Linked DNA regions of Elephas maximus indicus. The protein of the gene in region 1 binds, or shares a complex with, the protein of each later gene. Links are inferred from orthologs where the notes say so. Each region holds a gene or a part of one and is shown on either strand. Other genes may lie near its edges.

Region 1 (7,336 bases):
TGTTTGCTACTATTATACTAACTGATTTGATTATTATATTCTGGTAGCAACACGGAAGCTGATGAAAACCATCCCATGTGCCTCTTACTTTTAATTTGTCCTCTGACGTCACGATCTTCTCCTGAATGCTCTTCCTCGTAATGTGACTGAAGCTGATAGAAAGATTGCAGGTCCTTCAGGCACAGAGGGCAGAGGAAACCCTCCCTCACGTCCCCTGGGTCATCCAGGGAAGCCATGGCAGTGCCCTCTCAACCCCCACAAGGCACCAGCCTCATGCCAAAAGTCAGCTTGATTCCTCCACAAGGGGCCAGGGCTCCTGCGGCATTAGCTTAACGAAACAGCACACTGATGACGGGAAAGTGGCATCGCGGCCCTGGATGAGGTTTCCTCTCTGGAGTAGTAAGAGCCCTGAGAAAGGAAAGAAGAAGAGGGAAAAAACCCAATTCAGACAAATTAGCAGCAATTGAAAATCCTCTTTGTCTTTTCACAATTCAACAAAGGTTCTTAATGTTTGGTCACTGCAAGTTTAAGAAAGCAAACTACTTTTTCAAGTCCTTAGAACAAAAACACAAAGTCGTCTAAGATTTTGAGAATGTCACTGGACAACGGAAACTCACTGAAGCAGGAAGAAGAGAGTCTTGAGGACCAGAAAGGAAAATTCAACTTCAAAAGCAAACACAACACCAAGGCAATTCTTTTCACATTATTCCAAATGGTCCAACTTCATAATCTGATGCCACCGTGGCCGCTGAAGAAATTTCTGAAGTATTCATCACCAAGTAGTAGTTTTTATTTGACTCTCTTTACCTGGATCATTTATTCAACTGCATATATTGGGTTTTTGCTACCTGCAAAGCATCTGAGCCAGGAATGCAAAGACGAAAAAGACAGAGTGCCTGCCCTAAAAAACAAACAAAAAACCAGACCAAAACAAACCAAACACACACACACACAAAAAAAAAACCCATCTCAGTCAAAGCAGGAGCATTACAAAACCTAGTGTAATGAAAAGAACAATCTGTTTTGCGTTTTATATTTATAGAGCACTGTCTCACCAATGAGCTTACTAGATTTTATAAATCAGTTAGTGGCAGTTGAACAGCAGGCCCAATGTTCTCACTGCTTCAAAAACAAAAGGATTTCAGGACTTAATAAGTTACATTTTCTGGCTCATTGGGTCATGGCAAAGTCACTTCCAAGGTCGCCTAAGAAAGACTCCCAGCCATAGGAAGAATCCAGATAAAAACATTCCACGAAAGCAGAAATTTCTCCTCAGGGGAACTCTAGCCACACCTAGCTGTGACCCTCAGCTCTGGATGAACTTGTTCAGAGGGCCATTGAAGAGGGACTTTCTTGGCCCCAAACCTGAAGAGTGGCAGTGACCCAGAAACTAATCAACTGGAGACCCCAGGTCCCAGTTTTTTTCCTCTAGCTAAGAAATACTGGGGTTCAGTGGTAGAATTCTCACCTTCCATGCAGGAGGCCCAGATCTGATTCCCGGCTGATGTACCCCATGTGCAGCCACCACCCATCTGTCAGCGGAGCCTTGCATGTTATGATGCTAAATGGGTTTCAGGGGTGCTTCCAGACTAAGATGGACTGGGAGAAAAGGCCTGACCTGATTCCAAAAATAAGCCAATGAAAACCCAGTGGATCACAACAGTCCAGCCCACAGCTGATCATGGGGATGGCACAGGATCAGGCAGCAGTTCCTTCTGTTGTGCAAGTGGTTGCCATGAGTCAGGGGCCACCTCCATGGCAGCTAACAACAAACAACAACCAGCTTAACGACTACACACACGCAATTCCCAGCTCCTTTTCTAGATGGTCACGGAAACTGTAGCCCCAGGTCTGATCTGTTCTCTCTCCAGACAATGGTCCATCTGACATTCTGACTCTGAGAGCCCACTTCCTTCCCCTGCACTCACCCATAACCACCACAAATCAAATACTAACCACCACCGCCCCCACAGGCTCCCTCAGACTCACCCTTCACATCCCAGCCCAAACCCCACTTCCTCAAGGAAGCCTTCTCTGACTGGAGGCACACCCTCCATCTGATAGCACCTGTACTTCTTCACAACACTCATCTCAATTTATAATCACACGTACGTATGTAAAGTGACTAAATACACAAGACTGTAAGCTCTATGAGGGCAGAAACTACGTCTGTTTTCCCAACCATCATATCTCCAGGGTTTGGCACAGTGCCTGGCACACACATAGTCAAAACGCAGTAAGCCCGTGAATGAATGAAGGAACCCCAAAATCATATAGCCAAACACACACCACCTAACTGGACCCCACAACCATAACTGAATACATATGCAAGCTCCAAAACCCCAAATCGCACAAGAAATAAAAATAAAATCCACATATCCTACAACTACGCGTCCTACTTGAATGCTATCCTACCACATGCCTCACAGACTACACCTCCCGCAGCCGCGCTCACCACAGCCTCAAGACCGCATACAGCACTGGCCCACATAACACATCACGATTATGCACACGTCGTATAACCACAGACTGTTGGAAAAACCCAACCCCCATGGAGCACAGACATGACAACTCCACACGCCGCAGACACAACACAAACACTACAAACAACCCCACACAAACTCTGAGCACGAACGCTTCAACCTCACACAACCAGAGAACTGAACACAAGCATTCAGGAGACAGCCACCCGCTTCTCAGCCGCATAACCAAACACCAACCGTACGCTCCCCGCATAACCACACAGAGCCCAATCACTACAAGCACACACAAGCGAAACGCACAACCCAAAAGCCGCATCTCCCAGCACGTATGTCACACACACCGCACGCCCGCACGGCCGGCCTGTCTCGGTTGCCGAGTGGCGCCACGCCTCCGCCCTCCAGGCTCGACCTGGCTTCTGCAACCGGTCGGGGTTCCGCGGCCGCGCAGACCTGTCAGGTCCTCCCGCCGGGGCTGTGGGCCTTCACAGCCCCTTACACCATTGCAGCCGCCATCGCCATCCTCGGCTCGGTGCTCGGCAGGCGCGCCTGCGGAGGCGGTGCCAAAACCGGAAGGCAGGCTGGCAGACGCCCGTAGAGCGCCGAGTCTTCGAGGGCGTGAAGGGGCGGGAACGTACTCCACCCGCCCGAAGAGGACCGGCGGGCTATGTGTAGGTGCCTTAAGAACGGCGGGTAGCTCAGTGGTTAAAACCATCGACCCGAAATGTCGTTGGTTGGAAACCACCAGCGGCTCTCGCGGGAGAAAGACGTGGCAGTCAGCTTCATAGAGATTTACAGGCTTGGAAACCCTGTGGGGTCGCTATGAGTCAGAAGCCACTGGATGGTTTTTTGTGTTTGGATAATTCCTTTGTAAGGATCCTGGGTGGTGCAGTGGTTCAAGTGCTCGGCTGTTAATCGAAAGGTGGGCAGTTGGAACCCACCAGTGGCTCTGCAGGGTGGGGGAAGATGTGGCAGTCTGCTTTCTTTAAGATTACAGACTAGGAAACCCTATGAGGCAGTTCTCTGTCCTATAGGGTCGCTATGAGTCGAATTGACTTGACAGCAATGGATTGGGTTTTTTATAGTTCATTGTGCCAGTGAATGAGTCAGCAGAGGGGGTCTTTAACGCCTTCTACCCCCACTCCCAATTGCAGTTCTAAATTAATTCGAGAGTCAAAGTCCTTGAGAGCTAGAGTTGGAAGACTTGAGGAAAGCCGAGGATGTGGGAAAACTCGGAATAGAACCACATAAGTGTGTGCGCTTGGAATGAGAAGGCGTATCCAGTGGACGTACAATATGTTCAAATCTGTGACATTTCAAAAAACAGGATGGATTATTCAGCACTAACCACAAAGTATATAGAGACAAAACCTAATTCCAGTGCTGGTGAGACACTGGGCTTAGCAGTGGCCTGGGCTTCAGAAGCAAGAGCTGCAGAGCATGATGGCTTGGGCCTTGGAGTTCCAGATCCCTGGTCTTCCTTGACCCCTTTGATCCTTAGTATTACCATCTGTAAAATGGGGATAATAGTCTCCACCTCATAAGGTTTTTATGAGGATTAAATGAGGGGCGGTTGTTGTTGTTGTTAGCTACCACCGAGATGGCCCCCTACTCATGGCAATAGGTTGTGGAGCCATGCTTACAGGTGGGAATATCATTGCGGTCAGAGGATGAACCTTGTATTAAACCATCATGCGTTCGCCTGGCATTTTATCATCCACAAAAACCAGTATCACATTCACCCTTTGGTTTGCTCGAAAAAGCCATGGCAATGTGACCTGCAGCTTGTGAATTAATGCTAGAATCATGATGGCTCTGCCACTGATGTTCCAATTGTTTTTTCCTTCTAAATTTTAGTTAATTTTGTTGCTGTTGAGAATATACACAGCAAAACATACACCAATTCAACAGTTTCTACATGTACAATTTAATGACATTGATTGCGACCATTCTCACCCTCCTTTTCTAAGATGTTCCTACCTCATTAACCTAAACTCACTACCCTCTGAGGTTCCTATCTAATCTTTCAAGTTGCTGTTGTCAATTTGATCCCATAGAGATAATTCTTAAAAGAACATAATGCTCAAGACAGACCTTTTTTTACTAGTTATCTGAACTGTGTTTTGAAGATGACTCACTGATGTTCTATTGATATTTTCAAAAATGATGGTAACAAAGACCTTCCTGTGTGCTTCACAGTTTATAAAAAGCACTTCCACATTCAATACATTAGTTAATCCTTCCAACTACTCTTTTTCCCATTTCTAAAATAACAATAATAATGACTGACATTTACTGAGTGATTAGCACATGCCAGGCACTGTTCTGTGTGTTTTACATACCATTTAATTCTCATACAACCCTATGAGGTACAAATTAATATCCCTCCCATTTTTACAGATGAAGAATCTGAGGCCCAGAGAGGCTAGGTGATTTGCCAAAGGTCACACAGCTTGTAAATGTTGAACCCAGAGTCATCTTGCCTCGAGGCCTTCAAACCCCGCCCCTCCTTGGGGTCCAGACCTGAACACTGAAAATTCTTGCATCTCTCATCATTTCCCAGGCACCAACCATGTACCAAGCAAAGAGAGAGAGAGTGAGAGGAGGCAGGGCAGTCTCCCTGGAGGAGGCTCAGCCATCAGGGGGACACAGACACATTCAAAAAGAGTTTGCACATGTGTGCAGGAGCTCCGGCATCAGAGAAGAGGTTAATTATTCCCTCTGTGAAAATCCAGGGCAGGTTTCCAGGGAGGCAACATAGGAGCAGAACCCTCAGGTAGAGAGGGTTGGGAAAGGCCTTCCAGGAGGCGGGGTGGGGAGGGGCATACGCAAAGGCATGGTTGTGGGGAAGAACAGGAGTCCTTTGAAAACCTAGGAAAGTTTGTTCACACCTAGAATGATAATGTGAAGGCACTGGCTCTGGTTCCCAAAACCAGGGCTTCAAACCAGTTTAGTCATGGTCAATGAAGCAAAACTAGAACAGACTCAAAGTTTTAAACTTGGGTGATCTGGAATGATAATTGAAATGGGAAAAATTACAGGTTGAACTCCTGGAATGGGAGACTCAGAAGAGATGTAGTGAGCCCTTTCAGGAGCCTGATGCGTGAGATTGGATTACTGGCAGGAAGGCAGAGAGTGACACACATTCCAAGCTGTGAAGTCAACTGCCATCTTTGAGCAGGGCACCGCTGTTTCCGGCTCAGCTCAAAATCCAATGGGCAAGACAACTGATAGCTATGCAATGAGTATGCTGCCCCTGTTTCCTAAGGGGGAGATTAAGTTTCCAGCAGGGCTTTGACCTGTAATTCTCCCTGTTCCAGGTATCATTCCAGTTCACCCAAATTTTAAAAATTCAAGGGAAAGATTAGTCCAAAGGACTAATGGACCATAACTGCCACAGCCTGCACCAGACTGAGTCCAGCACAGCTAGATGGTGCCCAGCTACCACGACAGCCTTTCTGACAGGGATCACAATAGAGGGTCCTGGACAGATTGGGAGAAAAATGTGGAACAAAATTCTAACTCACAAAAAAAAAAAACTGAGTTACTGGCCTGACAGAGGCTGGAGAAACCCCGAGAGTATGGCCCCAGATGCCTTTTTAACTCAGTATCTAAGTCACTCCTGAGGTTCACCCTTCAGCCAAGGATTAGACAGGCCCATAAAACAAAACATACACCAGCCCAGGGGCAAGGACAAGGAGGCAGGAGGGGACAGGAAAGCTGGTAACGGGAAACCTAAGGTCGAGAAGGGGAGAGTGTTGACATGTCGTGGTGTTGGCAACGAATGTCGCAAAATGATATGTGTATTAATTGTTTAATAAGAAACTAATTTGCTTTGTAAACCTTCATCTAAAGTAGAATAAAAAAATTTTTTTTTTGTTTTTGATTCAGGTCTCTTCCTGTTTTGCTTCCTCGGCCATGACTGAACTGGTTGGAAGCCCTGCCCGAAACCACAGGCCACAGGGAGCTGACTCTAATGGCGGGATCACCGGCAGCTGGACCTCTTCACCTCCCCTTGTACCTTAGAGCTCTATGTCTCTCTCTGGTCCCTTATTGTCTATATATGTTTATCCTGAGTAGCACAAGGCACTTGGCATCCCATCAAAATCCCTGATAGGAAGGGAAATCATGATGTGGACATCAGGGGAAGGTGTGTGGCACATGACGTAATGCCCCAAAGGTCTCGCTCCCCCGTACTGGCCCAAGTTCCAGATCCCAGGCCTCTGCCAGCTGCTGCTGTGGCCCAGAGCAGACCACGGGGAGGCAGGGCCTTGTCTGAAGAATGGGTAGAGGGTGCCAGGCTAGGCTGTGAATAGGGGAGCAGGTGGTAGCTGCTTCTGCCAGGAAAGACACAGAGAAAGGAGGAAATAAGACATGGAGTAAGGAGGGAGGTAGCAAGGTATGGTGGATAGAAGCACAGACATTGGAGGCAGCCACCCTGGGTTTGGATCCCAGCTCTGCCACTTGTAGCTGTGTGGCTCCAAGCAGATCACTCAAATTCTCTGAGCTTCAGTTTCCCGTAAAATGCAATAATAATAGTCGCTGTTCCTAGGGTGGAGGATTAAATGAGTTGCTACTAGTCTCCTAAGGCTGTGGTAACAAAGTACCACAAAGTGGGTGGTTTTCAACAACAGAAACTTGTTGTCTCCTGGTTCTGGAGACCAGAAGTCCAAAATCAAGGTGTCAGCTGGGCCATTCTCTTCTGAAAGCTCTAGGGAAGAATCCTTCCTTGCTGCTTCTACCCTCTGGAGGTTGCCAGCAGTCCTTGGCATTTCCTGGTTTGTGGCAGCGTAACCCCAACCTCTGCCTCCATTTTCACATGCCTTTCTTCCCTGTGTGTCTGTCTGCTTCTGGGT
Region 2 (7,617 bases), on another chromosome or scaffold:
TAGGTTGTATTTTGAGTCAATCTCCTTTGAGATATAAAAGAGAGAATTGAGCAGAGAGGAGAGGGACCTCATTATCACCAAGCAAGAAATGCTAGGAGCAGAGCACGCCCTTTGAACCTGGAGTTCCTGTGCTGAGAAGCTCCTCGACTGGGCAAGATTGATGACAAGGACCTTCCCCCAGAGCTGACAGAGAGAGGAAGCCTTCCTCTGGAGCTGGCACCCTGAATTTGGACTTCTAGCCTCCTAGACTGTGAGAGAATAAATTTCTCTCTGTTAAAGCCATCCACTTGTGGTATTTCTGTTACAGAAGCACAAGATGACTAAGACACACGTAAGAGCCAATAATCCCCTGTCCAAAATTCTAAAAATCAGCCAACTTAGGCATGCAAAATGACATTAGAGAACTTTGGGGGACAGATAGAAAACTTCTGTATCATGATTTTTGTGGTTGTTACACACTGTGTACATTTGTCAAAACTCATTGAATCGAACACTTAAAATTGATTATTTTATTGTATGTAAATCATACCTCAAAAAACTTGATTTAAAAAAATTTTTTTTTAAACCACTCATAAAAGAAAATTCTGGCTCAATGTATTTGGTAGGGATTGGCGAGAAAATCCAAAAGGAAAAAACACTTGTTTTGCAAACCATCTTTTTAACAAGAAGCCAAGCCAAAAACAGACCATTTCATATGCACGTGAAAGCTGGATGATGAATAAGGAAGACTGAAGAATTGATGCCTTTGAATAATGGTGTTGGCAAAGAATACCGAATATACCATGGACTGTCAGAAGGAGGAACAAATCTGTCTTGGAAGAAGTACAGCCAAAATACTCCTTGGAAGCAAGGATGGTGAAACTTGATCTCACACTCTTTAGGACATGTTATCAGGAGGGATGAGTCCCTGGAGAAATATATCGTGCTGGGTAAAGTAGAGGATCAGCAAAAAAGAGGAAGACCCTCAACAAGATGAACTGACATAGTGGCTGCAACAATGGGCTCAAACAGCAACGATCTCGAGAATGGTGAAGGACCCAGCAGTGTTTTGTTCTGTCGTACATAGGGTTGCTATGAGTCGGAATCGACTTGACAGCACCTGACAACAACAACAACAATGAAAACATAGAAACATAAAGGAAGGATAATTCTATGGTACTTTTCTATCAGCAAACAGGTAGGAAAATGAAATTAAGTGGATAGAAGACCCTTGAAAACATGCTTAGCAATGTAAGTCAATCACAAAAGAATATTGTATAATCCTGCTTATACAAAATATCTAGAATAGGCAACAGTATATACAGACCTAGGTTTATTAGTGATTACAGTGGGTGGGTAGGAGGAAGGGTGGACTTGTTGCTTAGGGGACACTGTGCTTCTGCTAAGGGAAATAGAAATATTTGCAAACAGAGAATGGCAATGGCTGCACGACATGATGAATACGCTTAAAGTCACTGAATTGTACATGAGAAAAATTGTGAAATGGCAAATGTTTTGTTACATATATATTTACCACAACTATAAAAAGAGTATTCACTGTATAAAGTCAAAACAATAACAATGTATTTGGGGCTGCAGAAGTATAACATCAACAGCACAAAGCCTGGGGGTCGGGGGAGAAGAGAAGCAACCTGTGGTAAACTTCCTGTATTCTACACTTCCTGTCCTCTTTGAGACAGGTGTAGCCACGTGACTTGCTCTGGCCAATGGAATGTAAATGGAAGTGACTGATATATATATATATAAATTCTTCATGGAATCTTTAAGAGCTAACACACAATTTGTCGATTTCATTTTTCTGCATCGGTGATCACAGAAGCATGTATTTAGATGAAACTTGAGTCAGCCAGGGTCGATAAGTGCCTCCAATGAGCCCAGCCTCTCCGCCAACTGGCATGGGGCAGGTCATCTGAGTGAGAGATCAACTTTGTTAAGTCACAGATATTTTGAGAGAGCTTTGTTACCGCAGCTAATTTAGCTCATCTAACTATTTCTTAACTATTTCTAACAACAGAGGTGCCCAGTCAGAGGTGGTTTTGTTTGGCACTGGAAAGCAAGCTAGCATGGTGGCCTCTGAGGTCTCTTCCAACCTGAAGACATGAATTATATGCCATAGGCTTTACTAGCCTGGGTGGCCAACTGAGGTCACATTTCAAGCTCCCTTCTGCATGTGCAGAATTTAGCTCATTTCAATGTAACACCCTAGTATTTCTTAGTCCTCACTTGCTCAGAAAGAAGTCCCCTCATGTTCTTCAATGCCATTACCATAGAAAGTCACCACGCCACTAAAGCTGTGGCCAGTGTCCTCCATCAAGCCTAGCTCTGCCAAGGATGACATGTCCCCTCGTTCCCAATGCTGCTGCTCCTTGCAATTCAGAACCAGGCTGGATTCTCATCCCGAAGCCTTTTTAGGGCTCCCGATCCAGGGGCTGTGCCACAGTTCCAGATCTGACCCTCTCCCAAGGATGCCAGAAAATCTCTTCAGTCATCATTCATCTGTCCCGTTGGTCACTTCACTTACCTGTCCTCACCTATATTGTTCTCTACCAGTCCTAGGGAACAGGAATCCTTGTGAGGTTGGCAGCACCCTGAGGCTCCTAGTCATTTAATGTGAAGTCATGACACATTCTTGAACATTGCCAGGGAGCAGGAAGAAAAACAGCAGCTACTTGAGGGAACCACTGACCTAGGAAAAGTGAATGGGATCTATTTTTAGTTGGGAGAAATCTTTCTCTCTTCATTTTTCCTTTAGATGAATCTCCAATGTGCCTAGGCTTTTGGAAAACTGCCTTCACTCTGCCACAAACCTCCCCTGGAAGGAAAGGAGAAAATAGTTGGCAAAAACACAAATTAATTTTGCAATAATTTTTTCTTCCAATCAACAGTACCTCAGATTCAAAGGAGCCTGAGAATATTTAAAAGAAACTTGTTTTCTTTCGAAGACCCACAGTTACTGAGATGCAAAGTACCTTTCTACATTTGTATTCAATGATATTTGGTTCTTTCAAGACAGTTCCTTAATATTCTTTTTTCTAGTTGTGATTTTGGCTTTACACTTGCAAAACTAAATAATCTCTTTGGGTGGTTTTTCCAGAACAAACAGGCTTTCCTCAAAGACCTAAATCTTTATTTTCCACAAAATAGAAAATTGCTCACAGCTTTGCAATGACAGCTTAATTTTTATTTCTATTACCCTGTCCAGGTTTCAGAGCTTTTTCAGGCAATAACACAAGCTACAGGTATCCAGTGACGCCTTTCTCACCCACAGCAGCTCCTGGCAGGAAGAAAACTCCTGCCAGTCTTAGACCTAAAGAATGGGAGACCTATCTTCAGGTGAGGCTGTCTTTTTCCCACTTCCTGGATCACTATCTTTCCCCTGAAATGTTTTAATCTGTTAAACTTGGGAATCTAAATCAAACCTAAATGCAGAAAGCCAAACAATACAGCAATAAAAAATCAGCCATGGAGCAACAAATACACACAAAATAATTCTAGGAAATTACGACTCTTGAAATATGGGGCCTTCTCTGTAACTTAGAAACAAGAGCATTTATTTGCTATAGGATTAGAGAGAAGAGTGAAATCTAGAGCCAAGTAGCCATGGGGGAAGGGGGGAGAAAGAGGCCTCAGGGAAGGTCTGGTGCCAGCTTACGTGGAGGATGGAGCCAAATGGTTTCGGGGAAAATGTCGGTGCTGGAGTGTTGCCACAGTCCAGGCCACTTGGGAAGCCTGAACTATGCTTAGCCAAGGCACATTTTAGCGTTCTACTCTGTCTTCGAAACAAGGTTGGGCCCTAAGAGATACACGTGTGGCCCTGGTCATAGTCGGTGCATCAAACTCCCAACCAAAATTCCTTTTCCAGACAGAACGGGATTCTGGATTCGGCTTTGCTCTTTATACCGGAATGCCCAACCAAGGATCCTCCTAACCTCAGAAGCCCATCATCCCCAGCTGGGAGTCGGGAGGCCCTTCCTGCTGACTGTGAGCATTCCCTAACAGTGGGGCGCAGAGCTGGCGGGCTGCAGCCTTCGGGGCTCTGCAGCACCTGTGCACGTTGGCGTCCGTGTCCCCCACACCCGCTCAGCCTCGCTGAAAAGACTGGGTTTGAAAGTTCGGCCTGTCGGCAGGTGAGCTTGTTTCCCTCTCACCGGGCTGACTCACGCCCGCAGCCACAGGTACGCTCTGGCTGTGCACCTGCGCCGTCCCTGCTAGCTGCACATTAACCAAGCTCTGGAGTTTGTAATCCCAGCGTGAAGGGAGCCTTCTCCCGGCCGCGCGCCCCAAATGACGACGGTGAAGTCTCTCCCAAGGCTGGCCAGCTTGCACCCGGACCCCTTTTCCCCCTCCCCCGGGCCCTTCGGCTGCTCAGTGCGCGCGGCTGCAGCGACCGCCCCTCGGCAGGCCCCGCCGCCCCTCGGATGCCGCCCCCACCCGCGCGAGCTCCGCCTGCGCACGCGCGCTCTGGCGGCCGGCCGCGGCCCTCCCCGGGAGCGGCGGTGTGCGCCTGCGCGAGCCCGGCGGTCCGGGCCGAGCCGCAGCCGCGGGGTGGCGGGCGGTTGCCGTGGGAGCCGCCGGCCCCTCCCTCCCTCCCCGCCCCCACCGCCGCGCCTCCGAGACGCAGCGAGCGACCCCGGCCCCCCTCGCCCGCCGGCCGGCCCGCGCTGCAGCCGGTGACCCGGGGAGAGGCGGCGCCGCTCCAAGATGTCGCAGACGGCCATGTCCGAGACCTACGGTAGGAGGCCCGGGCGGCCGGGTCCGCGGGTCCGGGGTCTCGGGCGGGCGCCTCCGGGAGGGCGGCGGGGCCACGCACGCCCCCCGCCTCTTCGGCTCCCGCCGGCCTCGGCCGGCCGACAGCCCTGGCTTAGTCCGGCGGGCGGGCCGAGACCCGGCTCCACCTGCGGTTTTGTCCCAGCGAGGGGCCAGAAGGGCTCGGGGCCACGCCTGCATTTCAGTGTTTGACCTTTGCTGGTTTTCAGTTCCTTCTTTTCTGCTGGAATTGCATCCCTTCCGCAGGTGGCCTCTCAGATCACTTATTTCTAGCTCCTAGGGGTTTTTAGCCCGTTCTGGCTTGCAGCGGTCTTGTCTCCGTTTTAAGACCGTAAGCACCTTGGACGCAAAACCCTGCCTGATCTTTGTTTCTCCTACAGCGTGGAGAGCTGAGGTGCTCAGCAAATATTTATTTGAATAAATGAAAGCCTTCGCAGTTCACAGGCAGTGTTGGTTTTTAACAGCCCTGGGTGGTAGGAATAAACAATACCGTATCCTTCTACTTGGTATAAGGGTTGAGCACGTGTTTACCAGCCTCTAATCATTTTAGGAGCCCAGGTGGCTGTGGCTGCTAACTCAAAGGTCAGCAGTTTGAATCCACCAGCTGCTCCTTGGAAACCCAATGGGGTAGTTCTCCTCCGTCCTGTAGGGTCGCCATGAGTCGGAATCGACTTCAGGGCAGTGGGTTTGGTTTTTGGAATCACTCTTTCAGGTGTATGTATTCTCAGATTAAGACTTTGGTTGGGAGTTTTTGCAGCCTTGGAGAGAGAGAGGCTCAGGTTCAAAAGTATATGCCTCCAGCCAGCCAGTCCTGTCTCCATCTCTCCAGGCATTTGGCTTCTGCAGTGACTGTCATCCCATTCCACAAATGAGTGTGGAAACTCTGTGGTGAAGCTAGGTGCTTTGGTGCTAGGCCCTGTGCATGTGGCAGGGAGCCCAGCAAAGCTGGTCTTTGGTCTAGTGGGGAATACGGTGTTAATTATGACACTAATGAATGAGTAATAAAAACCCAGACAACATTCTGAAGAAATGTAATGATCTAGAAGTGTGTGAAAAAGAAAGCTGGCCCAGACCGGGGAGTCGAGGAAGGTTAGCAAGGCAGCACCACAGAACAGCTTGTGCCCAGGCCCTGAGGGGAATGGAACTCCAATAGAAGAATGTGGTTTGGCATCCTGGAGGAGAGGGATGAGGAAGAAGCACAGAGGGAAACAGGGCCCTCGGTGGGACAGGGCTTGGTGAAGGGTTTTGGTATTTCTCCCAAGAGCAATGAGAAGCCTTTGGTGGGGCCAGAGTGGATTTGGTCTATCTTTGACCACTACTGTTCTTTGTGACAGTCGTGGCATGATGCCCTGTTCTTAGAAGGCATAGGAAGCCCTCCATGAAGTCACAGGCTTCATAAGCACCGGTCTTGTCAGAGCTGTAAACGCCAGTGTGAATCACGTCCATGTGGTCTGCTTCCCTCTGTTAACTGGTTCTGTCTACAGTCATGAACTTCATAAGGAAAATATATTTCTCTAACAAATGCTGGCCATACCTTTACTTCTCTATTTTCAAGTGTCCCTTCCCCACACTTTTTTTCTTTAACCTAGGTAAGTTGTAGTGGGGAGGAATGGGAAGTCTAAATGAGAAAATGGGGTGCAGGGGGCAGGGGGAGTCCATGAATTAATTGGTATGAAAGGAGGACAGACTGGAATAGTTCAGGAGATTAGTTTTTAAGTTTTGGTTTTCTTGATATGAAATGATAAAATACAGTATAACTTTGGCGTCTAATTCTTCACTTTAGACCCAGTTCATTGAATTTTTGAGCATCATAGGTTAACTAGTTAAACCCTGATCATAAGGTTTTGAGCATTAGTGACTTAGTTATCCAGTGCTGCTACAATAGAAACACCATAAATGGGTGGCTTTAACAAACATTTATTTTCTCACAGTTTACTAGGCTAGAAGTCTGAATTCAAAATGCCGGCGCTATAGGAAGGCTTTGTCTCTGTCAGCTCTGGAGGAAAGTCCTTGTCTCTTTGAGCTTCTGCTCCTGTGTGGTCTTCATGTGGCTTGGCCTCTCTCTTCCCCCATCTCTGCTTCTTTCACTTGCTTGTTCAATCTTGGTATACCTTAAAAGAGATTGATTTAAACATATCACCCAGTCTCATTAACATAACAAAGACAACCCATTGCCAAATGGAATTATAACCACAAGCATAGAGGTTAGGATTTATAGCACATATTTTGGAGGGTGGGGGGGCACAGTTCAGTCCATAGCATTCCACCCTTTGGTCCCCCAAAATTCGTGTCTTTCCCACATGCAAAACACATTCACCCCATCACATCGTCTCAAAAGTCTTAAATCAACTCTAAGTCCCAAATCTCATCTTCTAAAATCATCTAAATCCAATATGGATGAGACTTTAGGTGTATTCCATCCTGGCGCAAAACTCCTCTTCATCTGTGAACCTGTGAAATCTAGACCACAAGTTATCTGTTTCCAGAGCATAATGGTGGAATAGCACAAGGTAGACATTTCCACTCTAAATGGGAGAAATTGGAGGGCAAGAAGGGATAACAGGTATCAAGCAAATCTAAAATCCAGCAGAACAATTTACATTAGCTCTCAAGGCTTGAAAATAATGCTCTGTTCTTGGGACCATCTGGGCAAAGCGGTCCAGACTCTGGGTGTTGGCTGCGCTCTTTGGATTCTAGGTGGAGACCCCTCGGCCCACTGGAATGGCAACCCTGCTCCCTTGGCTTTGGTGGCCTCGTTCTCCTAGTTCTACCTGAGTGGTGAACCCACACCCTTGGCACCAACAGGCCCTGCTCTTTTACCCCTTGGGCATGGCAGCCCCACCCCCTCAG

What was found. The genes of interacting proteins can lie anywhere in the genome.
Region 2: the proteins of RBSN (region 1) and RAB4A are in contact, whole or in part, in a crystal structure (PDB 1Z0K), measured with the Homo sapiens proteins. The link is inferred for Elephas maximus indicus from reciprocal best matches to the Homo sapiens genes RBSN and RAB4A. Residues at the interface, in NP_001289307.1 of Homo sapiens: Glu441, Gly442, Trp443, Leu444, Pro445, Ser447, Glu454, Pro458, Leu459, Gln461, Gln462, Asn465, Ile466, Phe469, Asp480, Glu481, Thr484, Leu485, Asn488, Leu492, Glu495, Gln499; in NP_004569.2 of Homo sapiens: Tyr10, Leu30, His31, Ile34, Glu35, Ile46, Gly47, Val48, Glu49, Phe50, Gly51, Ser52, Lys53, Lys63, Gln65, Trp67, Arg74, Phe75, Ser77, Val78, Ser81, Tyr82.

Annotation. Positions count from the first base shown.
Region 1 is NC_064838.1:38,698,209-38,705,544, reverse strand, and holds the start of RBSN (rabenosyn-5), read right to left. Parts: upstream 3,024-7,336; 5' UTR 2,934-3,023; exon of another isoform or gene 2,825-2,933; intron 409-2,824; 5' UTR 237-408; coding exon 89-236; intron 1-88. UniProt on the Homo sapiens protein: Rab4/Rab5 effector protein acting in early endocytic membrane fusion and membrane trafficking of recycling endosomes. Required for endosome fusion either homotypically or with clathrin coated vesicles.
Region 2 is NC_064821.1:209,902,706-209,910,322, forward strand, and holds the start of RAB4A (ras-related protein Rab-4A), read left to right. Parts: upstream 1-4,615; 5' UTR 4,616-4,701; coding exon 4,702-4,732; coding exon of another isoform or gene 4,733-4,947; exon of another isoform or gene 4,948-5,089; intron 5,090-7,617. Other genes in the region: serine/arginine repetitive matrix protein 1-like, read right to left, coding at 2,792-2,812, 4,732-4,947. UniProt on the Homo sapiens protein: The small GTPases Rab are key regulators of intracellular membrane trafficking, from the formation of transport vesicles to their fusion with membranes.